Linked DNA regions of Callithrix jacchus. The protein of the gene in region 2 interacts with the protein of the main gene of each other region in a pairwise test. Links are inferred from orthologs where the notes say so. Each region holds a gene or a part of one and is shown on either strand. Other genes may lie near its edges.

Region 1 (7,187 bases), on a different chromosome or scaffold from region 2:
CAGGTTGGGGAGTGAGGAGCTGTCCCCTTACCTACCTGGGAGTGTCGCCTGCCTTTGGGATGAATTAGGGACAATTGCGTCAACAGTGTGGCTGCCCTCGCTACTCCTTTGCATGGGCCCTGTGGGCAGAACCAGGCAGTGAGTGAGTGGATAGGGTGGGTGGCACCCATGCTCAGTGTCCAGGAGACCTGCATGGCAGCTCCTAAGACAGGCACAAGCAATAGTAAGGAGGGACATATGTGTCTGTTAGGATCCCTGCCCACCATGGGGTAGGTAGGGGCTGTCTGGGGCACGTGTGGGAGGGCTGTGCTCAGCGCCTCTGCCGAGATCCCCCCTGAAGAGGAGCCCTGGCTGCCTCCCACTGGGGTGGGTGCAGGCCCAGGTCCCCGACACCATGACGGTGCTGTGGGGCATTGCCAGACCTCACCCTGGGAGCCCAGGCCTTGTCCACGCTGAGGTGGCTGCTTATGGCCTCTGCTGTCCTGAACACAGACTCCTTGCAGGACCTGTGGGCTCGACCTTCCTTGGTACTTTTCTCCTGGGGAAGAAATAACGCCCACAGGTAAAGGCTTGGGGATGCAGGGAGACAACAGGAGAGAAAGCAAAGTGACGGTGATGCTGGCAGCCACACAGGCAGCAGGAGGGGCCTGGAGGCTGCTGTCGGTAAAGGGCGCCATAGGTGGAAGGGGTGGGGCATGCTGGCAGCCACACAGGCAGCAGGAGGGGCCTGGAGGCTGCTGTCGGTAAAGGGCGCCATAGGTGGAAGGGGTGGGGCCTGGAGTGTGCTGCAGAGATGTGCACCGTGGGAAGGGCGGGGCTCCCGAGGCAGGAGAGGGGCCTAGAGTGTGCTGCAGAGATGTATACTGTGGGAAGGGCGGGGCTCCCTAGGCAGAGGAGGGGCCTGGAGTGTGCTGTGGAGTTGTGTACCACGGGAAGGGCGGGGCTCCCGAGGCAGGTGAGGGGCCTGGGAGTGAGTGTGAGCTGGTGTTAGGGTGGGCCTGGGAGTGGAGTGAGTGTGAGGAGGTGTTAGGATGGGCCTGGGAGTAGAGTGTGAGCAGGTGTTAGGGTGGGGCCTGGGAGTGGAGTGTGAGTAGGTATTAGGGTGGGCCTGGGAGTGGAGTAGAGTGTGAGCAGGTGTTAGGGTGGGCCTGGGAGTAGAGTGTGAGCAGGTGTTAGGGTGGGGCCTGGGAGTGGAGTGTGAGTAGGTATTAGGGTGGGCCTGGGAGTGGAGTAGAGTGTGAGCAGGTGTTAGGGTGGGCCTGGGAGTGGAGTGAGTAGGAGCAGGTGTTAGGGTTGGCCTCAGAGTGGAGTGAGTGTGACCAGGTGTTAGGGTGGGCCTGGGAGTGGAGTGAGTGTGAGCAGGTGTTAGGGTGGGCTAGGGAGTGGAGTGTGAGCACGTGTTAGAATGGGGCCTGGAAGTGGAGTGTGAGCAGGTGTTAGGGTGGACCTGGGAGTGGAGTGTGAGCAGGTGTTAGGATGGGGCCTGGGAGTGGAGTGAGTGTGAGCAGGTGTTAAGGTGGGGCCGGGGAGTGGAGTGAGTGTGTATGAGATGGTGTGGGTTGAGATGGTCATTGGATCAGTGTGGTGTGAAGATCAGGCTGCTTTTTGCTGTTCATGTAGATTCTAAGTGCACTGGCCTGGGCTCTGATTACGTTGCTCCCTGTACGTTTCCTCTGGTAGGTGAGAAGGGTTACACGGTGACACTCTGTCATTGCTCATCACTATGTGCACGTTAATGTGGTTGGATTTGACAGCTCTGGGAGCTTGGAGAAAGAAGGTGCTGTGTGGCTGCGTGGCTGCTTGGCTGCGTGGCTTTCGCTCTTCGCTGTTTTTGTTATTTGGTGGTGTGTGGGGTGTGGACTGGCTGAGTCCCTGTGGTGGCACCTCTGCCTACGGGGCTCTCCATGGGCTCTTCTCATGGGCAGGTGGGATAGAATTAACATGGATGCATCTTTCCCCATCTCCTGTGCTATATTATATTCATGAAGCATATTTGAGTTTTTCTGTCTTTTCTTTGCAGAACAAAACTATTGTGAGTCACGGTATCATTTTCTGCACTCAGCGGACGGGGAGGGCTGTGCCAACATGCTGGTGGAGTACTCCACATCCCGGGGCTTCCGCAGCGAGGTGGACATGTTTGTGGCCCAGGCCGTGCTACAGTAGGTGTCGGATGGCTCTACGGGTTCTGGCTTCCCTTGCTGCCTTGTCCCCGGCCCGAGCCGTGGTGCAGCGTAAACTGAGTTCACTCCGGGCAGAACCTGCAGTGCACGTGTCAGCCAGAGTGACTCATGAATTTTAATAAGTTTTATGAAGTTTAAGAAGTATTTTGGAATCTCCCCCTTTTCTGCGGTGCACCTCTCACCTGCTGCCGGGAGGCCCTGTAACCTCTGCTCTATTCCGGCCGGCCTCAGCCTGTGAACTGTGGGAATGCACTCCCAGTTCTTAGAATTGTCAGTGAGTCATCTACCCTGCAGCCCTCCCGCCAGCACACTGGGGCATCCTGCAGGCTGAGCTTGGGCACTCGCTTCCTTTCTCATGAAAGCCTTATGTGTGCCCAAGTCCATTTCTTCCACAAAACAAATGTGAATTTCTAGGCGGGCGTTGGGGTAGGACTGGCTTTGTGGATTTGATGTGGGATTTGGGGACAGTCATCCTCTGACCTCAGTGCTGCCCACTGCTGAGCTCTCCCAGGAGGGCGTCCGTGACTTAAATGAAAAGCTGGGTCAAACCCAGAGCTCACTGGCTCTGCACTGCGTAGATGTGTTCTCTGGATTGATGGTAGCCCGCCCCTGGGCCACTGAGCCCTCTCTGTAGGCCCTCCTCAAACTGGAGCCAGGGTCTGCGTAGCACCCGCCAGCTGCTGGGCTGTGGCCAAGTGTTCTGGTGTGGGCCATCATCTGATGGGTGCGGGCAACGGGGGAGAGAAGAGCTCACTCAGTGCATTATTCAGATGGGGCTCAAGCTGGGTTCTGGCTCCGGAGCCTTATGACCTTCTCAAGCTTCATTCTCTTCACCTATAAATTGCTGGCCTCCCCAGGATCCCCTGCTTGTGAGAGCGACACGCATGAAGCACTGGGTCCCTCCATGCTGGGGGCTGTGAGACCCGTGGGTGTGTGAGCTTGGGAAGGACCAGGGCATGTCAGAGGCTGGTGCCTGCGCGGGTGGAAAATGTGTCCTCCAGCCTTTCCTCCACCAGCATGTTCTCATTTCCAGGTTTCTGTGTTTAAAAAACAAAAGTAGTGCATCTGTGGTCTTCACGACGTACACCCAGAAGCACCCGTCCATCGAGGATGGGCCTCCGTTCGTGGAGCCGCTGCTCAACTTCATCTGGTTCCTGCTGCTGGCTGTGGATGGGTGCGTCTCAGTATTCTGGGGGTGTACGTTGTATGTCGATGTGGTGGCGTGGGTAGCTGGGGGGGTGTGTGCACGCAGGTGTTGGGTGTCAATGTGATGAGTGCAGATGTTGATGTGTGGGGGTGGGTGGGTATAGCTGTGGCATGGGTAGTTGTGTGGGGGGTGTGTGTTGTAGACTTGGTGGTGTAGGTAGCTGTGGGTGTGTGTAGGTGTGTTGGTTGTAACATGGTGTAGGTAGCTGTGTGGGTGTGTGTAGGTGTGCTGGTTGTAGACATGGCGTAGGTAGCTGTGTGGGTTGGTGTGAGTGTGCTGGTTGTAGACGTGGTGTAGGTAGCTGTGTGGGTGTGTGTAGGTGTGCTGGTTGTAGACATGGCATAGGTAGCTGAGTGGGTGTAGGTATGCTGGTTGTAGACATGGCGTAGGTAGCAGCGGTTGGGTGTATATGTGCTGGTTGTAGACATGGCATAGGTAGCTGAGTGGGTGTAGGTATGCTGGTTGTAGACATGGCGTAGGTAGATGTGTGTTGGTTGTAGACATGGCATAGGTAGCTGTGTGGGTGTAGGTATGCTGGTTGTAGACATGGCGTAGGTAGCTGTGTGGGTGTGTAGCTGTGTTGGTTGTAGACATGGCATAGGTAGCTGTGTGGGTGTAGGTGCGCTGGTTGTAGACATGGCATAGGTAGCTGAGTGGGTGTAGGTATGCTGGTTGTAGACATGGTGTAGGTAGCTGTGGGTGTGTAGCTGTGTTGGTTGTAGACATGGCATAGGTAGCTGTGGGTGTGTGTAGGTGTGTTGGTTGTAGACGCGTAGGTAGCTGTGGGTGTATAGGTGTGTTGGTTGTAGACGTGGAGTAGGTAGCTGTGGTTGTGTGTAGGTGTGCTGGTTGTAGACATGGCGTAGGTAGCTGTGTGGGTGTGTGTAGGTGTGCTGGTTGTAGACTTGGTGTAGGTAGCTGGGTGTGTGTAGGTGTGTTGGTTATAGACATGGCAGTGTAGGTAGCTGTGGGTATGTGCAGATGAGTGTTTTAGGTATAGACTTGGTGGCATGGGTTGCTGTGTGGGTGTTGGTTGTAGGCGTGGCATGGGTAACTGTGTGGGTGTGTCCAGATGAGTGTTGGGTGTAGGCATGGTAGCATGTGCAGGGGTGTGTGTGCAGGTGCGTGTTGCCATCTTCTATGGGTGTAGGCGCAGTGGTGTTACAGGTGTGTGTGTGGGTGTTGGGTGTAGACGCAGTGGTGGTGTAGGTGTGTATGTGTAGGTAAGTGTTGGGTGTAGATGTGGCAATGTGTGTAGGTGTGTGCGCAGGTGTGTGTGGCCCTCTCCTGCTCCCCCAGCATCTCCCTATGTCCCTGTGTCCCAGCGGAAAGCTGACGGTGTTCACCGTGTTATGTGAGCAGTACCAGCCATCCCTCCGGCGGGACCCGATGTACAACGAGGTGAGGGCTGGGACTGGAATGGGGAGGGGCCCTCAAGGCTGCACTGCCCTAGCTGGGACCCCACAGCCTGGGTCCGCCCTCTCCTGAACCTGCTGCCCATGCCTTGCAGTACCTCGACCGCATAGGACAGCTGTTCTTCGGTGTCCCGCCCAAGCAGACATCTTCCTACGGAGGCCTGCTCGGTAAGCTGAGGTGCCCTCGCCACTCCCACTGCAACCCTGGGTCAGTGTGGGGTCCTCTGCAGTCCTTCACGTAGCAGTGGTTCTTTGCTCTTTTCAATGTTTCTCAGTTTCCTTTTGTTAGTAGGAAATTATATTTCAGAGTTGAATCCTAGCTCAGTGCCTCCCAGCCCCGTCTCTGCTCCAGAGCTCCCCGCCCCTGAGGTTTCTCACACTTCCTGGTAGGGGTCGATTTGTGGGGCTGGCTGTGTGCTCAGAGAAACATCTGACTTGTCCGGTTTCCAGCAGTTTGGTTTCCGGAGACTTTTGAACTCTGGCTTTGTATGTACAGAGTGGTTGTTCATTGGATGAAAATCAGGTGACAGTGACCACAGTTGGCCCCTGTGAGCAGCCGTTGAAGGCTTGGCTCATCCAGTTTATTAGTAGGTCGCTGTAAGGGTGTGTGGCACATGTGCTCTACGGCAGCACTTCTCTGTTGAAAAGTATACATGAGGTCGTGTTAGTAGCTCTCTAGGGCCCTCCGTGGCTTCTGTTGGAGGATGTGGAGGGCATCTCTGTAGGCCCACATCGCCACTCCACAGCCCCATTGGTGGATGTGGAAGGTGGTTCTATGGACTCTCCCCCTTCCTGTGGCTGCTCCGTGGACATGGAGGGTGGTTCTGTGGATACCCCCATGGCTTCTCCATGTTTGAGTATTTCTTTGTGGTCATCGGTTCCCTGTCCTCGGGTTCACGGGCCACATACAGTAGTGTTGTGAGACTTTTTACATGTCGCTTGGGATGCCTGTTGAGGCATCTGTGGGAGGAGGGGTTCGGGGGCCGGCAGGAGGCTGCCTAGGCCTGACCGCCATGCTGTCCTTCCTTCCAGGGAACCTTCTGAGCAGCCTTATGGGCTCCTCAGAGCAGGAGGAGGGGGAGGAGAGCCCCAGCGACGGCAGCCCCATCGAGCTGGACTGAATTGGCCGGGCCACGTGGAGACACCATGGTCAACGGCGGCTCGAGGGACATTTCGGAGGCGAGTCCTGGGTGGCTCCTGGCCCCAGGGGCTCCTGGCCTTGAGGCTGGCAGTGGCCGCGTGCTGGCGCGTGTCTGTTTGTGGCACGTCTGGTTTGTGCGGCGGCTCAGGGTGGCGCGGCTGCCGGTTGCTATGCTGCTGGGACCCAAGAGTGGGGCTTTGCCCCTGCTGGCCGCCGCGTCCCCCGAGATTGACCCACAATAAAGCACAGGCCTTACGCGGCGTCCCCTCTCCCACTCCTTTGTTCTGGGTCCTTTCGGGGGGGCTGAGGGGCAGCACAGGAGGCCCGTCCTCAGGGACCTGGCACATCACTCTCCTTGCTTGGCGTCCAGAGCAGCTGTTGTCGCCAAAGCAAGTGCTGGCCCTCACACGTGAGAACCCAGCTGGGCCCTGCGTGGTCTGCAGATGCGTGCGGCTGTTTCTGAACACAGGTCACTCTGCAGTCACAGCGAACTGGTCCCCATCGCAGACGGAGCGCATGTGCCCTGCACCACATCCTCACACTCGGTGAAGGGACGGCCCACGTGGCATCCCGTAGCTGCATCCTGCTGGTCTCTGTGAGAGCCATGCTGCTGTGCTGGAAATTCCGCTTTAAAAAGGGATACCATGGGACTCTGCCCATCTCTTTCATAATGCAATATTTATTTGTATTGGGTGATTGATTCCTTTGACCTAACGTTTTAGGTTTTAACCAAATAACCAGTCCAGGAGTGAGCAGCTCTGTTCTTGATGCTTTTCCAGATGTTGCCAGAACAATGACAAAAGGGGAGACGCTCTATTTTTTCATGATTCAATGACAGTTGTAGATTGATATGTAGTTGTGCATGGAAACGGGAAACTCACAGCTTTATTTACTGTAAAGCGGAATTTGAGGAAGGCTTGTGTGAACCGTTGCGCATAAATAAACCCTTTCTACCGGGCTGTGCGACGCCATTCCTTTCTCGGGCACCCACCGTGGGTGTGGGGGCCTCTGCACTCGGCTGTGCCTGGGAGCCCCCAGAGAAGGCATGCCCTGTGGCCAGACTGCCCGTGTGTGGACAAGAGCGGAGGTCCATCAGGAAGCCTCATGTTCACTCGGCTGTGATTTTAGAAGTATAGTTGTGTAATTTCATTGAAATTCATAAAGTTCATAAAAATCAAATCCACCAAGTCTGGGTGTCAGAGCCTGCAAGAGCAGACCTGTGGGTTGCCGGGGAGGCGGCAGCA
Region 2 (7,968 bases):
CTGTCTCTACTAAATATACAAAAAAATTAGCTGAGTGTGGTGACACCCGCCTGTAGTCCCAGCTCCTTGGGAGGCTGAGTCAGGAGAGTCGCTTATACCCGAGATGTGGAGGTTGCAGTAAGCGGAGATCATACTACTGCACTCCAGCCTGGGAGACAGAGTGAGACTCTGTCTCAAAAAAAAAAGAGATAGTGTCTCATTCATAGCTCATCGAAGCCTCAAACTTCTAGGCTCAAGTGATCCTCCTGCCTCAACCTCCCAACTAATTGGGACTACAGGCATATACCACCACGTCCAGCTAATTTTGTTTGTTTGTATTTTGTACATAAAGGGTCTCTCTTTGTTGCCCAGGCTGGCAATGAGGCCTTGAACTCCTGGCCTCAAGTGATCCTCCTGTCTCAGTCTCCCCAAGCACTAAATTACAGGTGTGGCTTTCCAGCTCTTTCATCACTGCACTCGAGGGCCTGAACACTCTCTTAAAGACTATTCCCATCTTACTTTTTTTTTCCGTCCTTGTTTTTTTTTCTTGAGATGGAGTCTCACTCAGTTGTGCAGCTGGGGTGCAGTGGCACAATGTAGACTCCCTACAACCTCTGCCTCCCGGGTTCAAGCAATTCTCTGTCTCAGCCTCCCGAGTAACTGGGATTACAAGTGCCCACCACGCCTGGCTAATTTTTGTATTTCTTCTTTTAGAGATGGGGTCTTGCTATGTTGCCTAGGCTGGAGTGCAGTTCACAGGCGCGATCCCACTACTGATCAGCACAGGAGTTTTGACCTGCTCCATTTCCAACCTGGGCTGGTTCACCCCTCCTTAGGCAACCTGGTGGTCCCCCGCTCCCAAGAGGTCACCATACTGATGCCAAACAGTGTGGACACCCAGTCAGCATAGCGCACTACAGTCCAGAACTCCTGGGCTCAAGCAATCTTCCTACCTCAGCCTCCCAAGTAGCTGGGACTACAGGCGCCCGCCACCGTGCCCGGCTGTTTTTTTTTTTTCTTTTGTGAGACGAAGCCTGACACTGTTGCCCTGTCTGGAGTGCAGTGGCACGATCTTGGCTTAACCTCCACCTCCCAGGTTCAAGTGATTCTCCTGCCTCAGCCTCCTGAGTGGTTGGGATTACAGGTGCCTGCCACCATGCCTGGCTAATTTTTTGTGATTTTAGTAGAGACAGGGTTTCACTCTGTTGGCAAGTTCTCAAACTCCTGACTTTGTGATCCACCACACCCAGCCTAATTTTTGTATTTCTAGTAGAGACAGGGTTTAACCATCTTGGCCAGGCTGATCTTAATCTCCTGACCTTTTGATCCACCTGCCTTGGCCTCCCAAAGGGATTACAGGTGTGAGCCACTGTGCCTGGCCCTTGCTCCCCTTTTCTGAACACAAATTTCCAATGGGCACTTGATGAACTGGATAATTCTGGTTCCCCCTGCTACCTTAAGAAGTGTTTATGGCCAGGCACAGTGGCCTGGGATTACAGACGTGAGCCACTGCACCTGGCCACACTCACCTAATTTTTTGAAATTGTTTTGTAATGACAGGGTTTTGCAGGCCAGGCACAGTGGCTTATATTTGTAATCCCAGCACTTTGGGAGGCCAAACAGGTGGATCACTTGAGGTCAGGAGTTTGAGATCGGTTTGACCAAGGTGGCAAAACACCATCTCTACTAAAAATACAAAAATGAGTCAGGCATGGTGGTAGTAATCACAGCTACTCGAGAGGCTGAAGCAGGAGAATCACTTGAACTCGGGAAGTGGAGGTTGTAATGAATAGAGACTCAGCCACTGTACTCCAGCCTGGGCGACAGAGTAAGAGTCTGTCTCAAAAAAAAAAATTAATAAATAATAGGCTGGGTGCGGTGGCTCACGCCTGTAATCCCAGCAGTTTGGTAGGCTATGACATTGCCCTGATTAAAACAACTTCCCATTAAACCTGGAGTCAATGCCCAACTGCTTACAGTGCACTGACTCAATCTCAAAAAAAAAAGAAAAGAAAAGCTGTCTGAGGCTGGATGCAGTACCTTACACTTGAGGCTGAGGCAGGAGGATTACTTCTCCAGCCCAAGAATTCGAGACCACCCTGGGCAACATGGCTGTGTCTTTTTTTTAATGTCAAAAGACTCTGTGTCTTTTTTTAATTTTTGAGACAGAGTCTCGTTCTGTTGCCTAGGCTGGAGTGCAATAGCACGATCTCGGCTCACTGCAACCTCTGCCTCCCAGGTTCAAGTGATTTTCCTGCCTCAGCCTTTCGAGTAGCTGGGATTACAGGCATGCATCACCAGGCCTGCCTAATTTTGTTGTATTTTTAGTAGAGACAGGGTTTCACGTTGGCCAGGCTGGTCTTGAACTCCTGACCTCAAGTGATCTGCCCACCTTGGCCTCTCAAAGTGCTGGGATTACAGGTGTGAGCCACCAGGTCCAGCCTTCACACAGCTTTAAATGCTACCTTTGGGTCAGTGACTTCCAAATCAGTAACAATCTCCTCTGAGCTCCAGACTCACGTAAACAAGCTACTGTCATGATGTTTCCACTTGGATTTTCAGTGGGCACCTCAGATTCGCTGCGGACTAAATGACATTCTTGACTTGTCCCTTCTAAACCTACTCCTTTACTAGTTTTCCGCATCCTAGCTGCTCAGAAAATAAAAACATGTAACTAGTTCATTTATTTTTCTCACCCATTCCGACCAAGTAATCTCACTAATTTACTTCTGTTAAATAAGTCCCTGGTGCGATGCGGCTCATTCCTGCAACCCCAGCACTGTGGGAAGCCAAGGCAGTCAGATCACTTGAGGTCAGGAGTTGGAGACCAGTCTGGCCAACACGGTGAAACCCTGTCTCTATGAAAAATACAAAATTAACAGGGCATGGTGGCACATGCCTGTAATGGCAGCTACTGGGGAGGCTGAGGCAGAAGAATTGCTCGAACCTGGGAGGCAGGGGTTGCAATGAGCTGAGGTTGCACCACTGCACTCCAGCTTGGGCAACAGAGGAGTCTTGACTGTCTAAAAAAAATAAGTAAATGAATTCCCAAATCTGACTGCTTCTCCCCCAACATTCTGTCCCACCACAGTCCAGGATGCTGTCATCTCTCAACTGGTTACAGCCCCAACCTCATTACTTTCCTTGACAACTGAATCTCCACTTAGCTGTCAGAGGGTACTTTTCAAACATGAATTTGGCCATGACACTGCCCTGCTTAAAACAAACAACTTCCCATTAAACCTGGAGTCAACGCCCAACTGCTTACCGTGCACTGTAAGGTCCCACACCATGTGGCTCTGATTGGTCTTTCCAACTTCTCCTTCCCCTACCCTGGCTCTCTAAGCTTCAGGCACTCTGGTGTCCTTCCTGCTCCGCAATTCCTCATTCGTTCCCTTGTGAGTATGTTGAGGAAGGGGTGAAACAGGAGAGATACAGGATACAGAATGGATAGGACATGGTGGCTGCTGATGTGTGTGCACAAGAAAGGCTGGAAGGGTCTTTCCCAGAAGTGGGAGCTAAGCCCTGCTCCACTCACCATAGCAAAGAGGTTGTCATAGCCTTTGACCTTGGTAGGCACCTTTGAGAACTTCTGGTCAAAAGCATCTGAGATGTTATGAGCTGGGTCTGTGGAGATGATCAGAACACTCTCACGTCCCTTGGACAGCTGGACTGCCAGGCTGCAGCTGGGTAACGGAAAAGTCAAAAGATGGGGGATGAGGGGTTGGGCTCTGTTCCCTGGGTCTGCAAGGGGAGTGACAGGTTCCTTAAAGCAGGTGACCCGGATCAACAGGGGCCTTGAGAGAAGAGTATGGGTTACCGTGGGATTAAGCCTCAATCCCTAAAAAGGACCCCTCTCTGATTTATCTACTGAACCCTCAATCTGGACTAGAGAGTTAAGGTTCAGCTGACTGAGTCCATCTGGCCTTGTGCCCGCTTCTTCTTTGCTGGGCACACAGTGGTATGGCCCCGCTGTCCAGCCAGCATAGCGTGACTCTGTGCCACCTTCCTTAATAAGCTGGAGGGGGGGGGGGTCCCTTCCATTCCTTGCTAAGCACAGGATGGTTCAGTCCACTTGTCCAGGATAATCTGCCCCACGGACACTTCCTGCCTGCAGCTACCTGGGACACTCTGATCATGTGCCCTCTCCCTCCCTTTCCGCCCTCACTCTCGCCTTGGGCGTAAAACAGCAAGGTTCACCGAACTAGGATTGATTGTTTGGTCCAATCCCTACCCACAACTTTGATTTCACTCAGGTACGGTCCAGATGATGGGGATATCTAAGTGCTCCCCCGTCCCTCGAGCACTGAGTTCACTGTGGTTCAGCACTTGAGCCCCAACAGTGATGGTCCAACTCAGAGGGTGCTAGGCCTGCATTGAGGAGTTATCTCCCATTTGCTCCAGGTAACTTCTAGAGTGTGAAACCAAAGACCCCCGCCACCCGCCTTGCCCCGCTCGTGGTGGAAAAGCCGGTACTTGGCCTCCCCTACGCCCAGTGGCATACCCTACCCGGCTCCTGGCTCCCGCAGCAGGCTCCGTACCTGCAGGTGGTCTTGCCCACTCCACCCTTGCCCCCGACGAAGATCCACTTCAGGCTGCGCTGCTCGATGATGTTGCTAAGTGTAGGCTCCAGCGGCTCCACATCAGGCGCGTCTTCGAACTCCTCTGCCTCAACCCCCCACCCGGCCACCCCTGCCGCCATTTTGGAACTGGCTCACGTGATCAAGCGGAGCACACCATGCGAAGCACCTACAGGGGAAATCCTCTAGCACATTCCCATCGAGGCTATAAGCATGAATTAATTTCCTCATGACTTGCCTTTCAGGAGAAATATAAATTATGTTTTCACTATTCTTTGCTTCCAGGGTTCACTTTGTTAACCTCTGGTCTGTATTTCTCCAAGGACTCCCCTTACCAAATGAGCACATCAGTACGGTCCAGGGTACTCCTCTTCACTGATTGGGCCATAAATCTTGCGGCGCTCTTTTCATTGGCTAGATCTTTTCTTACTTTCACCAATCACTCTCACGTTCCGGTAGCGCCAACCTCTCCTTAGCAACCAGCCAAACACCCAGTCCTTGCCCTTTCGGAGAAGTTAGAGTCCAGGTCCGCCTTGGCCTGACTCCATAGGTTCAATTTTATGTCCATCATTTTCCCTCTATTCTTCACGTTGAATCCGAACCTCCCCTTTGGTTCCGCCCCTTCTGTTATTCAATTGGTTGTTAGCCACTTGGTTCCTCCCACAATCCAATCATAGAAGAGTTGACTCGGCTGGAGATGAATCCCTGGGGCTGATAGTGGCTTAGAGTGTGCAAGTCCGCATTCTTAACCATTACTCCCTCATCTCCCATGCTGAGCAGGCTCCATGCCTGCAATTGCGCTCAGTTTCGCAGAAGGGACCCTAATTCCTAAAAGCTTCCTTGCATTTCTCCTGTTCAAGAGAAGACTCCAGTATACCATAATTCACGTTCGAACTTCTGTCCTGGAGCAGGAACACAAGCTGGGTTCCAGGCCCCTGATGAAGATCTCACCCCATAATACTTTTTTTTTTTTTCGCTGTGTGATCTTGGGTAAGTCACTTAGCCTTTCTGCGCTTCAAGTTCTTCATCTATCAAATAGGGGTAAATACAGAAGCATCTCTAAAGGTTTTTTTTTTCTTTAGACGGAGTTTTGCTCTTGTTACCCAGGCTGGAGTGCAATGGCGCGATCTCGGCTCACCACAACCTCCGCCTCCTGGGTTCAGGCAATTCTCCTGCCTCAGCCTCCTGAGAAGCTGGCACGCGCCACCATGCCCAGCTAATTTTTTGTATTTTTAGTAGAGACGGGGTTTCACCAAGTTGACCAGGATGGTCTCGATATCCTGACCTCGTGATCCACCAGCATCGGCCTCCCAAAGTGAGTGTTTTTTTTTTTTTTTTTTTTTTTTGTTTTTTTTTTTTTTGGAGACCGAGTCTTGCTCTGTCGCCAGACTGGAGTGCAGTGGCGCGATGTCGGCTCACTGCAACCTCCGTCTCCCGGGTTCAAGCGATTCCCCTGCCTCTGCCTCCTGAGTAGCTGGGACTACGGGCGCGCGTCACCACACCCGGCTAATTTTTAGTATTTTAGTAGAGACGGGGTTTCACCGTGGCCACGATGGATCTCCTCACCTCGTGATCTGCCCTCCTCGGCCTCCGAAAGTGCTGGGTTCACAGGCATGAGCCACCGCGCCCGGCCAATACTCTTAACTTTAGACAGAGACTAGGGCCTAGAGATAACCCCGACTTCATCTGAATACTACAGGTCATAAAATAAACTGGTTAACATGTATGTAGAATCCGGCCGGGCGCGGGGGCTCATGCCTGTAATCCCAGCACTTTGGGAGGCCGAGGTGGTGGATCACCTGAGGTCAAGAGTTCTGGACCAGCCTGTCCAACATGGTGAAATACCGTCTGTACTAAAAATAAATTAGCCCGGCCTGGTGGTGCGAGCCTGTAATCCCAGCTACTCGGTTGGCTTAGGCAGTAGAATCGCTTGAACCCGGTGAGGGGCGGAGGTTGCTGTGAGCCGAGATGGCACCACGGTACTCCAGCCTGGGCGAAAGAGTGAGACTCCGTTTCAAAAAAAAAAAGCTGATTCTCAGGGACCTCAGCTCCACAGAGCAAGCTATGTCCTCATTAAATGTAAGCTTTATCCCAGAGATGGGTATCCAACCCAGAGATACCCCAATTTCTACGTGGGGGGCCCAGGCTAGAAATACTCTCTATTCCTAGTTGGGGACTCAAGTTCCTAGGTGTCAGCTGAGCACACAGCCCCAAATGAGGTGCTTCCCCTCACAGAGATTATTATTGGTGTCAGACAGGGATTCTAACCCTGCAAAGCGAATCTGCTCCTAGCCCCGAGTAAAACTACACTCCAGAGAGCAAGCTACAGCCTCAGTCTCAGACAACAGTCTCATTCTAGGGGAGCCCCTGTCTGGGGAACACCAGCTCGAGTACTGCTGAATTTTGAAAACCCGCGAGGCAGGGCTCGGTGGCTCACGCCTGGAATCCTAGCATTTTGAGAGGCTGAGGTGAGAGGATTGCTGGAGCCTAGGAGTTCGAGAGCAGCCTGGGGAACATGACAAAACCCCATCTCCACACACAAAAATTGGCCAGGAATAGTGGCGCATGCCTGTTTTCTCAGCTACTAGGGAGGGTGAGGTGGGAGGATCACCTCAGCTCTGGGAGGTCGAGGCTGCAGTGAGCCACCATCCCGCCTCTGCACTCCAGCCTGGGTGAGAGTGTGACTCTGTCTCCAAAAAACAAACAACAAAACCTCGCCAGACTGGGCCGAATGGCTAATGTCTGTAATCCCAATACTTAGGGAGGGGAGGGCAAGGCGGGAGGATCACTTGAGGCCAGGAGTTCGAGACCTAGCTTGGGCAGTATAGCCAGACGCCCGTCTCTAATTTTCTATTTTTCTTTTGTTTTTTTTTTGAGACGGTGTTTTGCTCTTGTTGCCCAGGCTGGAATGCAATGGTGCAATCTCGGCTCACCGCAACATTCACCTCCAGTATTCAAGCGATTCTCCTGCCTCGGCCTCCCGCCACTGGGCGTGGTGGCTCACGGCTATCCTAGCACTTTGGGAGGCCGAGGCTGGTGAATCACCTGAGGTCGGGCGTTCGAGACCAGCCTGGCCAACATGGCGAAACCCCGTCTCTACTAAGAGTACAAAAAGTAGCCCGCGTGGTGGCGCGTGCCTGTAATCCCAGCTACTCGGGAGGCTGAGGCAGGAGAATCGCTTGAACCCGGGAGGTGGAGGCTGCGGTGAGCCGATATCGCGCCATTGCACTCTAGCCTGGGCAGCAAGAGCGAAAACTCCGTCTCAAAAAAAAAAAAAAACAAAGAAACAAAAAAACCCGTGAGGCGGGGCCCCTCCCCCAGCCCCGCCTCTTTGGGTCGGTCCTCTCATCGCCCCGCCCCCTCCCCGCCTCAACTGCGGACTCTCGAGGGCCGGACCCCTCTTCCCATC
Region 3 (7,187 bases), on a different chromosome or scaffold from region 2:
ATGCCACGGCAATATCAGCAAGTTACCCTAGATGGTCTAAAAATGGGAGGCATGAACAGTCCACTCCTTGTTTAGCATATAATAAAGAAATAACCATAAAAATGGTTCCAGCAGCCTATGGTGTAGCCATTGGAAAGCAAGCCATACACTTGCTTTCACTTTGTGGACTTACCCTGAATTCTTTCTTGTTCAAGATCCAAGAACCCTCTCTTGGGCTCTGGATTGGGACCCCTTTCCAGTAACACTATGACTTTCTATTTCCTTCTTCTCTTTCTTTTTCCTTCTGCTTCAGTGCCTTCATCTGAGTTACAAACCCCTCAACTGCTGTTGACCTGGAGCTAAGAGGAGGAAGTTGTCTGTGTTTGTTAGGAAGGGAGAGAGAAGAGGAAGGATGACAATACAGTTTTACCTTTTGCTTACATTGTGTGCCATGCCAGGGCTTTCAGTGGAGTCCAAACTGGTGAATTTCGAGTAAGAGCTATGTCAGCTATTCCTTAGCTCTTTGATCCTTTTCTGTTTTCCACTCAGCCCGCATGCCTTGCAGTCCACCTCAGCATATCATCTACAAATGCTAAGAATGTCTCCCAGGACCATGGTCTTAACCCAGTGTGTTGGACTGTAAGGACTTTCTGCTTCTGCCACAAAATCACCGTGTCACTGCAGACATCTGAACCTGTTTCCATGTGATTCCTTTGTGTGAAAATCACAATCATGTCCTTTGCCAATCTCAGAACATTTTAGCAAAGATAGCTAAGATATTTTCTATAACATTTGTAAGTGGAAGATTCTATAAGCACCTAGCATCATTACTTAGCCTTACTAATATCACTGGTAATTCTGTGGCCAAATTATAGTTATTAATGTGCACGGTCACCATTTTATCATTATCATTAATTATGATTATAATTTGAGAGGTTGACAGATTATATAATACTGTTTTATCATGTGACCAGATATTTGTTACATCTTTTGACAACCCAGAGAGAGGGTTTCTTCTCAGGGGTAAGAGATTCTAACAGTAGGCCAGGAACAGTGGCTCATGCCTATAATCCCACACCTTGAAAGGCCAAGGCAGGAGAATTGTTTGAGCCCAGGAGTTGGAGAGCAGCCCAGGCAACATGGCAAAACCCCATCTCTACAAAAAATCCAAAAATAAACTGGACATCTTGGTGCATGCCTGTAGTCCTAGGTACTTGGGAGGCTGAGGTGGGAGGATCACCTGAGCCTGGAAAACAGAGGCTGCAATGAGCTGTGATGTTCCCACCACACTCAAGCCTGGTGACGGAGCAGATCCTGTGTTGAAAAAAAGGAAGGGTTGGTGGCGTGGAGAGAAAGAGAGAGAGGAAGGGAAGCAGGAAGTTCCAGCTGTGAGCCAAGGTTGCTGCCTAGGGATAGAAAGCATTGCCCATCCCCAATCTCTACATCTCTGAGTCCTTGGACAAAGGCCGTAGCAGTACTTCCAGGAAGACCTCTGTCACAGGCCACTCTGAAGATCGTTTCTCCAAAGGACTGATTCAGTGTCATAATTCCAGTGTTACCTAATCTTATTTTATGGAGATTTGCTCACAAAGCAAGTAGCCTGAAAACTAGTTCTTTGCATTCTAATGAGAGTCATTGGTTTTCATTCAGAAGCAATTTAAAGACCTTTCACATCTTTATGCTCCTCTCTCTTTGTTGTGGGAAAAAACACTCATTCTTTCCCAAGCAAGTGAACATCTCTGGTTTAACCTGGAGTCACTTAAGTCTGGACATGGCTTGGATGAGGCTTTATTGTTCTTCCATTTTCCCCTTTTAGGTGAATTGTGACTGCACTTTAGTCATACTATCTCTAATAACTGATTGAAAGGCACCAATTTTTTAAGAATTCAGAAGAAATCTACATTAAAGAATTTATATTATGTAATTGATTATCTTTGCTATTTGCTGGGGAAATGTATGAAAGAAAGTGGAAGGGCAAATATAAGTCTAACAGTACCCACTTTCCCCTTGGTTTTGTGACCCTAAAACAGGCCAGTTAACACTCTTTGGGTTACCTCTCCAAATTTCTCGTTTATAAAATTGGTTAATTAATGGTTTACATTAATCTGTATTTGACTTGATGTATCTGGAAAGCCACAAGCCTGTGGCTCTTAAGTTCTACTCCTATATGCATGAGTGACCAGTGTGCTCTGGTGCTAATAACTTTTCCCAGTTCACAGGGAATTTAAGTTAGTGAATGGAATGCTTAAGGCCTTTCTCTCATAAAACATTTCTAGATCTTTGGCTTTGCTATACCTATGATAATCTAGTAAAAAATGTCTTTTGGATGTGCTAGAATTTTCTCTTCCATTATTTTAATTGCTTCTAGTATTTTAAGTAGTTTCCAGGTTCTCTGCCACCCAAAAAACTTTGAAAATCACTTGTCATTGCTGTACAAAGTGTATTTCACAGATTCTCTGAAGATGTTTTTATATCTCATCTCCCTTGGAAGTTTTTAGTTGTCTCAGAGGAAGGCAGATTTCATACAGAGTGATGCCAGGGTCATTTTTGGGAACATACTACTTCTCAACATTTCACCTCTGTCTTTTATCTTTTCCCTATTTGTCTTTATTTTTTCATTCCTTCTCTGTTTTATATTCTCTGTCATTAATTGAATATCTACTAGGTGCCAACCATATGCTAATCCTCCCATCAGCTATGCAGATGAAGATACAAAGACTCAATTACACTAAGTGACTCACCTCAGGTCCCATAAGTAATAAATGCCAGGGTCAAGAGGCTTCCCCTCAAAGACCATAAATTCCCATCTTGCTGTATTGCTTCTCTCTTTCTCTTCTATCACATGCTCTCCTTTTCCTTTCTCTTTTTTCTCTAATTAATTATAGTAAAATACACATAATAAAATTTACCACATTATCCATTTTTAGGTGTGCAGTTTAGTGACATTACATATATCCATGTTGTATAACCACCACTACAGTCTATCCTCAGAACTTTTTTTAACTTGCAAAACTGAAACCATACTCATTAAATGATAATTCCCATTCCCTTCCTCACACCAGCCGCTGGCAACTACTCTTCTCTGAGTTCCATGAATTTGACTACTACTCTAGGACCTCAGATGTGTAGAATCAAATAGAAATTGTCTTTTTGAGTCTGGCTCATTTTACTTGGCATAATGTCCTCAGAGTTCATACATGTTGTAGCATGCATAAAAATTTCCTTCCTTTTTAAGGCTGAATTAATATTCCATTGTATGTGTACACATTTTTTTGTTCATTCATCGATAGACACATGGGTGGCTCACACCTTCTGGCTGTTGTGAATAACACTGCTGCTGTGAACATGGGTGCACTGCCTTTCTTTTTGAGTACAGTTCCTCCCTCATCTTCTGCATAAATTTTAGGCTTGTCTGTGGTACTCACTGACATTGCTAATCCCAGTGACAACACTAAGACCTGGAAAATGTCCACCTAACTATAGAAGCTGTGGACTGTTTCACTGATTCTTCTTGTCAATGTATTTACCACCCTTAGTTCTACCTTTCTTCTCAATTTGGGTTTTGCATGGTAATGAATGCATGCCTGTCATTTGCTCCTGAGTCCACAGATTTCTGCCTTTTGCCACCCTTGGATGGAACTCCAATGGAACTCTCTAATCCTCTAGGGGAGTTGTAAAAGAGCCAATCAACATGTGTGTGTGGAATGCAAGACATGAGGCAAGGGGTATTAGTCTGTTTTCATGCTGCTGATAAAGACATCCCTGAGACTGGGAAGAAAAAGAGGTTTAATTACACTTACAGTTCCACATGGCTGGGGAGGACTCAGAATCATGGCAGGAGGCTAAAAGCACTTCTTACATGGTGGCAGCAAGGGAATAAGGAGGATGCAAAAGTGAAAATTCCTGATCAAACCATCAGAACTCATGATGCTTATTCACTATGATGAGAACAGAATGGGGGAAGCCATCCTGCCCCGCCATGATTCAAATGAACTCCCATAGATAGGGTCCCTCCCACAACATGTGGGAATTATGGGAGTACAATTCAAGATGAGATTTCGGTGGGGACCCATCCAAACCATATCATGAAGCATGTGAGACAGCACAGTGGGTGGAGGCAGGAGGGTGGGTAGTAGAAGTAGAGGTTTAGTTCCCAACTTCAGTGAACTTTAAACTTGCAAACACTCATTATTTTATCTGTTAGTTTAGGTAGCTTGGAAATTTTATTGTCAGATTTATTCAGTGTGTCAGTTATTTTCCACTGAAATGATTTTGCCCCTGCCCTTACCCTGGCCATTTGTCAATGAGTAGAGATGTTTTGTTTGTCACAACTATGGCAAAAACTGCAATTACTTTTGCACCAGCCTAATAGTATAAAAGGGATGCTACTGCCTCACAGTGGTTGGAGGTCAGAGATGCTGCTAAATATCTTCTAGTGCATGGAACAGCCCCTACAACAAAGAGTGACCCGGCCTAGATGTCAGTAGTACCAAGTTGTGGAGCCCTGCAGTATATCTAGTATTGCTCAGTTTATATTGGTTAGTCACCTAATATGGAACATAAAAAGTCACCCTTAATTTTCTCAAGGAAAACATCTTTATGATAATACAGTAACTTGAAATCAAGCTAGCATTTCCCATGCTATAATTGTCATTATTTGCTAATCCAGGATATAAAATTTTCAGTGCTTAAGTGGAGTGTTAGTATCTAAAGAAAATTTTCTAGCAAAAAAAATTATTTTAAAAACATAACTTGGTATTTAATATATTGGCAATTAATATCTATTTTTTTAAAAAACCATCGGTGTAGCTCACAAACTCTCTTTGGATTTGAAAAGCCTTGTGTGACTGCCTCCTGTATGTTTCTCTCTTAATAGACTAACACTATATTTAGATTTTAGTCCTTATACAGATATCTTATGAGGTAATGTTGGAAGCTCTATAGGGTATTTTGCCACATTGATTTAAAATATTCCATGGATAACCCACTTGCATAGAAGATGATACTAAAAATATAAACAAAATTCATTCCCAATCTGCCCATTTTCTTCAGCCGGAATACTAGCTAGGAAACTCCTAATTTAGTTTTCTCCTTTATGGATATTGTGTTTAAGTAGATTTCTTTCTTCTATAAAATGAAATTTGAACAAGTGGAGTGAGCTGCAAACACAGTTGATTGGAGATGTGCAGACCCCCTGTCAGGTGTCCTGAGAGGCATAGCCCGAGGCCAGTCACTGCCCAGGTGTCTAAACCAGAATAATTGCAAGACATGTAATAATATACAAAGTAACTGAAGGGCATGTAATAAAACCAGTATGTCTTCATCACCAATCCCCTGTCGTTTGTACGTCTCCAGTGCTGAGCAATGAAAACTGATGTTCATAATGAGATTTCTGAAATTCTTTCCTAATCATCAAGGGAAGAATAAATTTGGGCTTGATGTTCTAGTTATTTGGTTATGTCTCAAAGGTTGTTACCAAAGGTACTTCTTGCACATGTATAGGAGTTGATCCTCAGGCACCTAACCACACAAAGCTTTATTCAGGAATCCTTGTCTTTCTGTTGCAGGACCTGGGAAGAAGGCAAGGTACTCATCTTTGATGACTCTTTTGAGCACGAGGTATGGCAGGACGCCTCATCTTTCCGGCTGATATTCATTGTGGATGTGTGGCATCCGGAACTGACACCACAGCAGAGACGCAGCCTTCCCGCAATTTAGCAGGAATTCATGCAAGTTTGGGATGCTCTGGAGAGAGGCTGCCTTTCTGGTTCCATCTCCTTGGGTGTAAGGATAGAATTTTGAACACTAAGACTCTTAATTCCCTCGATTTGCAGCCTGAATAATTCTAAGCCTCCTCCTAGGGTTAGAAGACACTAAAGGGAATATTTGCCTCACTGCAATTCATTTAGAAAACACCCTGCTGGGTGTCATCCATTGACAGCTCTGGTCTTCTGCCAGTATTTAAGGTGAGCATTTGATAGCTTCTACCTTACCAGCCAAAGAGATTTTTCCCACATAGAATAGGTCTAAATCAGTGTATAATGAGAATATATGTAGAAACTGTGAATGGATTGCTTTAGTTTATAATTTTTCTATACAGTTATATTTTTATAGTGTAGCTAGACCATTTTGTCATCATGTACCACTACATTTTTGTTAATTTTAATGACAAGCTGTATAAATGCTTTACTTCTAGGTGTTTAATGATAGCATTACTGGGGAACTCTGACTTCCCTCTTTTAATTCTTCTTAGTAAAAGACACTCATGAAAAAAGCAGTTTTATTTTCCTAATACAAAAAAGAAAGAAGTCATGGTGCCAGTGTCTAAGAACTATACCCATCCTAACTCTCAAGTTGTTTGGTTTTTTAAATCTTGATTCAGATCCTCCTCTCACTACGCCGGTGATGGAAATATTATCAAAATCGTATTTCTTTCAAAGAGGAACTTTTCACACTGAAAAAAGACCATGGGATTATTTTATATTGTTATAAAAATCCCACATGCAAATTTTTTAAATGCCAAGTATTAGAGGTTCTGGGGAAAAGTACAGTTTATGAAAATAAAAATATGTTGTTTCAGGGTCAGGTGCACAGGTGACTGATAGGAAGTCTGGCTCTTGGCTGCTTTGTCATCCATGAAGCATGTCCTGGGACACAGTTTCTTTGCCTACGGTAGATCCATGTGAATGACAGGAAGCCAGCTGTTCGGTCTTGAAGATGATTTCCACCACAATCCTGTAGCAGTATTAAGGATGGCAGAGTAAAAGGTCACCAAGAATGCCGGGATCTTTGTCCTGGGTGTAGAAGATCCAGATTGCTTTCCTTTTTGATGAAAAAGCCTTAAAGACTGTCCCATTTCCCTGACTTGAGAAACTTCTGCCGTTTTAAACATCACCGTGAAATAACTATTATTATCATCTATATTTAGTTTCAACGTTACTCACAACATAGAAATAACAGTTGAAAATGGTCTTGCCTAGTCATTCCAAAGATGATCAAGTCATTAATTTAGTAAAGTATTAATGCATCAGATTTTGTATTTTTTAAATCAAAGCTAACTAGAAATGTTAGATATAAGAATGTAATGATATTCATGCACTGAATTCTAAGCCCATATGAACAAGAATGCTGCAGGAATGGCACAGAAATCAATAGATTTCATTCATAGGTAGAAAAGCACTTGTACTTCCTTTTCTATCTAAAAACAA
Region 4 (7,627 bases), on a different chromosome or scaffold from region 2:
GATTTTGTTTGTTTAATTTCCTTTATTGGTTGAAGGTTAAATTGCTAAATCCCATATTCAGGTCTCAGCCTTAATCTTCCTAGATTTATCAACAGGATTTTACTAGTTAATCACTCTCTTCATCCTGGAACAAATTCATCAGTTGGCCTCCAAGACATCACATTGTTTTGGGTTTTTTGGTCCTTCTGGTTACTCTTTTTCAGTGTCCTTTTTCTGGCTCCCTTGTGTCTTCATCTCCTTGGTGCTCAATGATGGAGTTCCAAGGGCTGTCCTTGATTCTCCTTTCTCTCTATTACAACTCACCATTATCATCCAGTACCACGGCTTTAAATACCCAGGCTGGAGTGCAATGGCGCGATCCTGGTTCACTGCAACCTCTGCCTCCCAGGTTCAAGCAATTCTCCTGCCTCAGCCTCTTGAGTAGCTGGGATTACAGGCGTGTGCCATCATGACCAGCTAATTTTTCTATTTTTAGTAGAGACAGGGTTTCACCAAGTTGGCAAGGCTGGTCTCAAATGCCTGACCTCAGGTGATCTGCCCGCCTTGGCCTCTCAAAGTGCTGGGATTACAGGCGAGCCACCACGCCCGGCCTTATTTTTATTTATTTATTGAGACAGAGTCTTGCTCTGTTGTCAGGCTGGAGTGCAGTGGCATGATCTCGGCTCACTGCAACCTCCGCCTCCTGGATTCAAGTGATTCTCCTGCCTCTGCTTCCTGAGTAGCTGGGATTACAGGCACGTACCACCATGCCCAGCTAAGTTTTGTATATTTAGCAGAGATGGGTTTCACCATGTTGGCCAGGCTGGTCTTGAACTCCTGACCTTGTGATCCACCTGCCTCGGCCTCCCAAAGTGCTGGGATTACAGGCGTGAGCCACTGTGCCCAGCCATTTTTAAATTTTTTTAAGAGACAGTTCTTGTTATGTTACCCAGGCTGGTCTTGAACTCTTGGTCTCAAGCAATCCTCCTGCCTTGGCTTCCCAAGGGACTGGGATTTCAGGTGTGAGCCACCAGGCCCAGTTGAAAGAGATTTTTCTACAACATAAGACTCACTGTGATACTTCCCTGCTAAAAAGTACCTTTATGTCTTGGTTTAAAGACCACAATCTTCACTGTGGCCTGCTAGGCTCTGTGTGATCTCATTCCTCTCTGCCTCTCCACCTTCCCCTCTCATCCTTTGTCCTCTCTGTTCCAACCAAACGAGCCTTCTTTGTTACTCAGTGCACCATGTTCCTCTCCCCTTCAGAAACTTTGCACTTGTACTTTGCTTCGTCCTGGCCAATTTCTACTCATTCTTCAGAGCTCCCTTTTTCTGGAAAGCCCTTCTTGGCCCTCCAGGTTAGGTTGGGTGGTACTAACCACAATAGTAATTTTAGAGCTATTTATAAATTATTTAATTCCTGTGTCTCCCTGAATAGGGACTATGCCCGTCCTGTTCATCCCTGCATTAAGAGACACCTAAAATAAAACTTGGCATAGAACAGGTGGTCAAGAAGTGTTTGTTGAATGACCACAAGAGTGCTTAGCCCTTACCACATTACATGAAATCTGCAGTTTACCTAGTTTCTCTCATATCAGCCTGTGAGATTCTGGAAAACTAGTACAGGATCCAGCCCCATGCTTGACACTGCACGGGCTCAGCAGGGGTGTTCTGAGCAGGGGAGATATGTGCTGCCCAGATCCCCCATCACTGAGGACTTAGGACAGGCACTGGCTACCATGAGTGCTGTCAGCACAAAAAATGTTTCTCCATAGACAGGGCCATCTTGGCCCTTGTCTCACCCCTTGCAGGTAGCCCCACATCCAAAGACTGGTAAAGGCAGGGTATAAAGACCTGACCATTGGCCAGGCGGTGTCTCACGCCTGTAATCCCAGCACTTTGGGAGGCCAAGGAGGGTAGATCACAAGGTCAGGAGATCAAGACCATCCTGGCCAACATGGTAAAACCCTATCTCTACTAAAAATACAAAAATTAGCTGGGCTTGGTGGTGAGCACCTGTAATCCCAGCTACTCAGGAGGCTGAGGCAGGAGAATCGCTTGAACCCGGGGAGGCAGAGCTTGTAGCAAGCCGAGATTGTGCCACTGCACTCCAGCCTGGCCACAGAGCAAGACTCTGTCTCAAAAAGAACCACAGCTGGGCATGGTGGCTCACACCTGTACCCAGCACTTTGGGAGGCCAAGGCGGGCAAATCACGAGGTCAAGAGATCGAGACCATCCCGGCCAACATAGTGAAACCGTGTCTCCACTAAAATACGAAAACTAGCTGGACGTGGTGGCGCGCACCTGTAGTCCCAGCTACTCGGGAGGCTGAGGCAGGAGAATTGCTTGAACCCGGGAGGTGGATGTTGCAGTGAGCCGAGATCACACCGCTGCACTCCAGCCTGGCGCCTGGCAACAAAGCAAGACTCTGTCTTAAAAAAACAAACAAACAAACAAAAACAAACACCAAAAAACAAAAACAAATAAACAAAAAAGACTTGACCATCTTAGCTCAACTGATGGACCACTCTAGCCCCAGAGTCCCTGTAGCGTCAGCTAAGACTGTCTTGGGGCCTGCATGGAGCTCACTACTTTCCCCTTTTGCCACTCCTGTTCCCTCCCTTCCTTCCCATGTGCATTCCCATGCGTATTGCCCCCTCATCAACATCCTACACTCCAATCTCCATCTCAGAACCTGCTTCCTGAGGACCTAACCTTCAACAGGCCTTCAGTCCTCTCTTCCCCTTCTCTCAGCCATCATTTTCAGGGAACATTCATTCATTCACCTGAAGTTTGGAGGCACCATTCAACTGTTAAAGTGTTTCGTATCCGTTTTTCTATTACTTCTATCCTATACTGATTAGGTGGATCAGGAAGGGAGATTAGCCCCACTAAACGTGGAGAAATTGAGGCCGGACTGATGGCGTGACCAGACCAGCCTAAGGCCGCTGCACGAATGAAAAGCTGAGCTCTCAGACAGATTTTTGTCTCCCTGTCCCTGCCAAGTCTCTGCATCCTGGGACAAGAGGGAGGCTCACTGAAACGAACTCTGGTCTCAGGGGACAGAATCCTGAAACCCTGGCTCTGAGGTCCGGTACAGGAGGGCGCTGCCCCAGGACAGACGGGGAAACTGAGGCCCAGAGCCAATCATCCACCGCCTGCGGAGAACGAGAAGGAGGTGCGTCCTGCCTCGCGGGCCGAGCGGCGCCGTTGCTGCCTCCTCCCACCCCTCGCGCAGGGTCTGCCCGCCCCGTCTTAGCCCTCGCGACGTCGCCACCCCGGGAGCGAGCCATGGTGGTGGTGGCGACGGTGGCGGCGTGGCTGCTCCTGTGGGCCGCGGCCTGCGCGCAGCGGGAGCAAGACTTCTACGACTTCAAGGCGGTCAACATCCGGGGCAAACTGGTGTCGCTGGAGAAGTACCGCGGCTCGGTGAGTGCGCGGGGTCTGGCGGCGTCGCGCGGCCCAGCCTCACCCTGGTGGGGCCTGCGGGGCGTGGAGGGGGGGGGGTTACAGCCCGGACCCCTGAGCCGGGTGGCTCCGAGGCCGCCCCGGCCGCGCGGCCGCCAGACCCCGGCCCCCGCCCCACTCAGCTGTGACCCCCGGCACGGCGCTCCCATCCCGCGCCCGGCCCGCCCCGCGGCTACGTGGCACGGCCCTGGCGCGGAGGAACCCGAAACGCTCGCAGTCCTAGCCCACTTCGCTACGGGCACTTTTGGGCAGCGGAGTCCACACCTTCGCCGGGAGGCCGGGTACCACTGCCCAGCCTTTGCCACTCACGGGTGGAAAAAGTAACTGTAGCATCTTACGGCCTTGCTCTCTGCCGTCCCCACTTTCCGCATCTGGAACGGGGAGTGGCTGATTCGGAGTCCGGTGAGGAACACTGTGGAGATGGATGTGCAGGGCAGAAGGAGTCATTTCAAATGCACGGAGACCTCAGGCGGATCATCCTTGGGAGAGGGCACAAAGGCCAGGAGAGGGCACAAAGGCCCGGAGAGGGCAGGCATTCGCAGGAGGTCACACTACACCAGAAAGACGGAGCCTGGAAGAGAACTCCACCGCCACTGCCCTCCATCCGGAGTCCTCTCCAGGCCAAGTCCTTACTTAGATGGCAGCTGAGAGGGAGAGATTGAAGAGTCATCTAGGCTAATTGACCCCTCCTTACCAAGAGGGAATCTAAGTTCAGAGAGGATTTCGGAGAGGAAGGGTGTCTGGGTTGAGTCTTTGAACACAAGTGGATTTTACCCAGACTAATAAGCAAACAGCAAGAAGGGTGGGGAGTGGTGAGGCCAGGAGTTTCAGCTGTTGTGCTTGAAAGAGTCTAAAGCTGGAGGCTAAGAGTGGCGGAAGATGAGGCTGAAAAGGTTAGCAAGGGACCAGGCAGGACCTTGAACGCTACACTGAGAGGCCTGCATGTCACATTATGTGCAGTGAAGAACTCCCAGAGTGGGCCTCCTCAGGATGGACCTGGGGACTCGGGTGAGATGGCTGGGGAGTTGCACTCTAATGAACAGGTGGGCCAGCATCCAGTTTTGGATGAACCACACAAAAATGGATGTCAGCATTCTCCTGGGAGCAACACCATCTTTAGTGAAGGCAGTACTATATAAACCTTGAAATTTTCGATTATGCTGGGAGTGCTGGGGGCAGTAATCCCTGTCCTGACTGTCCCCCACAGTGTCATGAGTTTCAAATAAGCTAACAGTGTAGGTACACTTAGTAAACTGTAGAGTGCTTTGCATCTGTGTTTGGTGGATCCCAGCAGGAACCTCATTCAGAACTCAGGGAAAAGAACCAAGAACAGAGCCAGTTTCAATTCAGGCCTCCCATTCTCTCTAGGGAAACTCACCAGAGAGCCCCAGGTAGTCAAGCAGAGCACCTACTGTATACTAAGCAGATACTAGGCCAGGCCCTGGGGATACATTGGTGAATAAAACAGATACATTTCCACTTTAATGGAGCTTACATGGGGTCAGGAGAAGAGACAATAAATAAGAACTGAGAAATGCACAAGGTAATTCCCAGTGGTAATAAGGGTTAAGACAAAAATAGAACAAGGTCACACAGCTAGTAAGAGAATTAGAATATGAACCCAGACAGTCCAGCTCCAGCGTCTATGCCCTTAGTTGCCAAGTTCAGCGGTAAACCAGGGAACCGTAAATCCAGAGAAGCTGTAACTGGTGCTGAGTTAACCCAAGCTAGGCCTGCTGCTAGGGCAATATGCTCCTTCCTTCACTGGCAGACATTTCCTGGCTCCTACTATATGTCTGACACTGGGTCCAGATTTAGTGACATAGCCATGGGCAAGATTGACATGGTTGATGCCTTCAGGCTAATTGAGACCATAGTCATTTAGATCAGTATGGATGAATGAGTGACCATTTCGGAATGTGTGGGGTTATGCATGTACTGGTAGGCCTAAGTGTAGAGAGAGTGTGTGTGTGTGTGTGTGTGTGTGTGTGTTTGTGAATAGTTTGTTTCTTCTGTGTACAAATTTGAGTCTGTCTGTGCTTGTATATGTATATATGAAAATTAACTGTGTGTACTTGGGTGATTCTGTCTGTGTTTTGGATTCTAAGGACCAAGATTTTTGGTTTCAGGGATGGACCTAGAAGCCAGATTTTCCCCCGTCTAAAGATATGGGCAGATATGCAAGGTGTGAGTTAAAAATAAGCAAGCTTTGGCCAGGCATGGTGGCTCACACCTGTAATCCCAGCATTTTGGGAGGCCGAGGCAGGCAGATCACAAGGTCAGGAGTTTGAGATCAGCCTGGCCAACATGGTGAACACCCGTCTCTACTAAAAATATACAAAAATTAGCCAGGCATGGTGGCATGTGCACCTGTAATCCCAGCTACTCAGGAGGCCAAGGCAGGAGAGGCAGAGGTTGCAGTGAGCCAAGATCGCGCCACTGTACTCCAGCCTGGGTGACAGAGCAAGACTCCATCTCAAAAAATAAAAGCAAGCTTTAATTTTCTCATTGCCCAGGGATCCAGCAGGGGGGAAAAAGGAAGGAAAAAAAGAAGGAAGAGACTTATGAGTCCTAGTTTCTCACCATTCCAGGCAGAGTATGGTGTATGCTGACCTCAGACTGAGGAGGTTGTTCTAATTGCCAGTGGCCCCAGGCCCATGCCTGATCCTTTCTCACCTGGCGGAGGTAGGGTGCCAATGTACAGCTCAGTGGTTCAGTCATCTAGCCCAGTGGTTCTCAGCTAGGGGTGATTTTTCCCTTTAGGGCACAATTGGCAATGCCTGGAGACATTTTTGATTGTCAAGACTAGGCATCTGGGCCGGGCACGGTGGCTCAAGCCTGTAATCCCAGCACTTTGGGAGGCCAAGGCGGGTGGATCACGAGGCCGAGAGATTGAGACCAACCTGGTCAACATGGTGAAACCCCGTCTCTACTAAAAATACAAAAAATTAGCTGGGCATGGTGGCGCATGCCTGTAATCCCAGCTACTCAGGAGGCTGAGGCAGGAGAATTGCCTGAACCCAGGAGGCAGAGGTTGTGGTGAGCCGAGATAGTGCCATTGCACTCCAGCCTGGGTAACGAGCAAAACTCGGTCTCAAAAAAAAAAAAAAAAAAAGACTAGGCCTCTAGTGGGTAGAGGCTAGGGGTGCTGCCAAACATCTGACAATGAATAAATAGGACATCCCCCGAACAACAAAGAATTACCTGACCCAAATGTCAGTAGTGGTTTGGATGAGAAAGGAAGATAGGACTAGGCTGCCCGGCACAGGGGAAGGTTTAAAATCCTTTAATAATATATAGCAAGAAGCTGAAAACATAGCATCGGAGCCAAAATTCTAATTGCAGTATTATAATCAAGTTCCATTAGCCAGCTTTATATTTATTGCCTAAAGGCTTTAATAAATTTAGGAATTAGTCTAGTGATCAAAGAAAGTGGTAGGCTAGACATGGTGGTTCATAACTGTAATCCTAGTACTTTGGGAGGCTGAATTGATAGGATTGCCTGAGGGCAAGAGTTTGAGTCCAGCCTGGGCAACATGGAGAGACCTGTCTCTACCAAAAGTAAAAATTTAAAAATTAGCCAGGTGTGATGCACGTGCCTGTAGTCCTAGCTATTTGGGAGGATGAGGCGGGAGGATCACTTTAGCTCAGGAGCTTGAGACTGCAAACTGTTGGGGGGATGTCCTGTTATGATCATGCCATTGCTCCAGCTAGAGACCTTGTCTCAAAAAAACAAAAAAAGTGGTATTGATTCACTGGAGAGGAAGGGGACAAAAAGGGATTGCCCTGGGGTTTCAAGGGTTCTTTTCTCAAGAAAACCTGTCTATGTTCCCATGCAGGTGTTTGTGTTTATGTGCACACTTACTCATTCAGCTGACACTGAAAACTTTTCCATATGCCAGGCCCAGAGATGAAGTGGACATAGCTCCTTCCCTCCATAGGGTCACATTCTAGAAGGGAGACTGACACATATATAGGCAACCACAATGCTAAGTGGCGAGTGCTAGCTGACTGAGCCAAAAATTGAGCCCAGGTCTGCCTTTGTAACCCCTCTTATCAGCTCTCAGCATGTATTCACCAGTATATGTGCCTCTATCTGTGGATGTGCTGTGCGTGGGGGGGTGTATGTGTGGTGTTTGCTCATATATGTTTGTATTGTGGCGCATGTGCGTACCTATT

What was found.
Region 1: the proteins of GET3 (region 2) and GET4 interact in binary tests that used the Homo sapiens proteins (3 or more experiments, as listed by UniProt). The link is inferred for Callithrix jacchus from reciprocal best matches to the Homo sapiens genes GET3 and GET4.
Region 3: the proteins of GET3 (region 2) and ASPH interact in binary tests that used the Homo sapiens proteins (3 or more experiments, as listed by UniProt). The two-hybrid records come from large-scale screens. The link is inferred for Callithrix jacchus from reciprocal best matches to the Homo sapiens genes GET3 and ASPH.
Region 4: the proteins of GET3 (region 2) and GPX7 interact in binary tests that used the Homo sapiens proteins (3 or more experiments, as listed by UniProt). The two-hybrid records come from large-scale screens. The link is inferred for Callithrix jacchus from reciprocal best matches to the Homo sapiens genes GET3 and GPX7.

The regions. Positions count from the first base shown.
Region 1 is NC_133503.1:58,120,394-58,127,580, reverse strand, and holds the end of GET4 (Golgi to ER traffic protein 4 homolog), read left to right. Parts: intron 1-2,020; coding exon 2,021-2,159; intron 2,160-3,213; coding exon 3,214-3,354; intron 3,355-4,712; coding exon 4,713-4,788; intron 4,789-4,897; coding exon 4,898-4,970; intron 4,971-5,834; coding exon 5,835-5,923; 3' UTR 5,924-6,902; downstream 6,903-7,187. UniProt on the Homo sapiens protein: As part of a cytosolic protein quality control complex, the BAG6/BAT3 complex, maintains misfolded and hydrophobic patches-containing proteins in a soluble state and participates in their proper delivery to the endoplasmic reticulum or alternatively can promote their sorting to the proteasome where they undergo degradation.
Region 2 is NC_133523.1:11,555,807-11,563,774, reverse strand, and holds the start of GET3 (ATPase GET3), read right to left. Parts: upstream 4,691-7,968; 5' UTR 4,682-4,690; coding exon 4,521-4,681; intron 3,666-4,520; coding exon 3,518-3,665; intron 1-3,517.
Region 3 is NC_133517.1:17,557,855-17,565,041, reverse strand, and holds part of ASPH (aspartyl/asparaginyl beta-hydroxylase), read left to right. Parts: intron 1-5,546; coding exon 5,547-5,697; 3' UTR 5,698-7,187.
Region 4 is NC_133508.1:89,379,700-89,387,326, reverse strand, and holds the start of GPX7 (glutathione peroxidase 7), read left to right. Parts: upstream 1-3,232; 5' UTR 3,233-3,271; coding exon 3,272-3,409; intron 3,410-7,627. UniProt on the Homo sapiens protein: It protects esophageal epithelia from hydrogen peroxide-induced oxidative stress. It suppresses acidic bile acid-induced reactive oxygen species (ROS) and protects against oxidative DNA damage and double-strand breaks.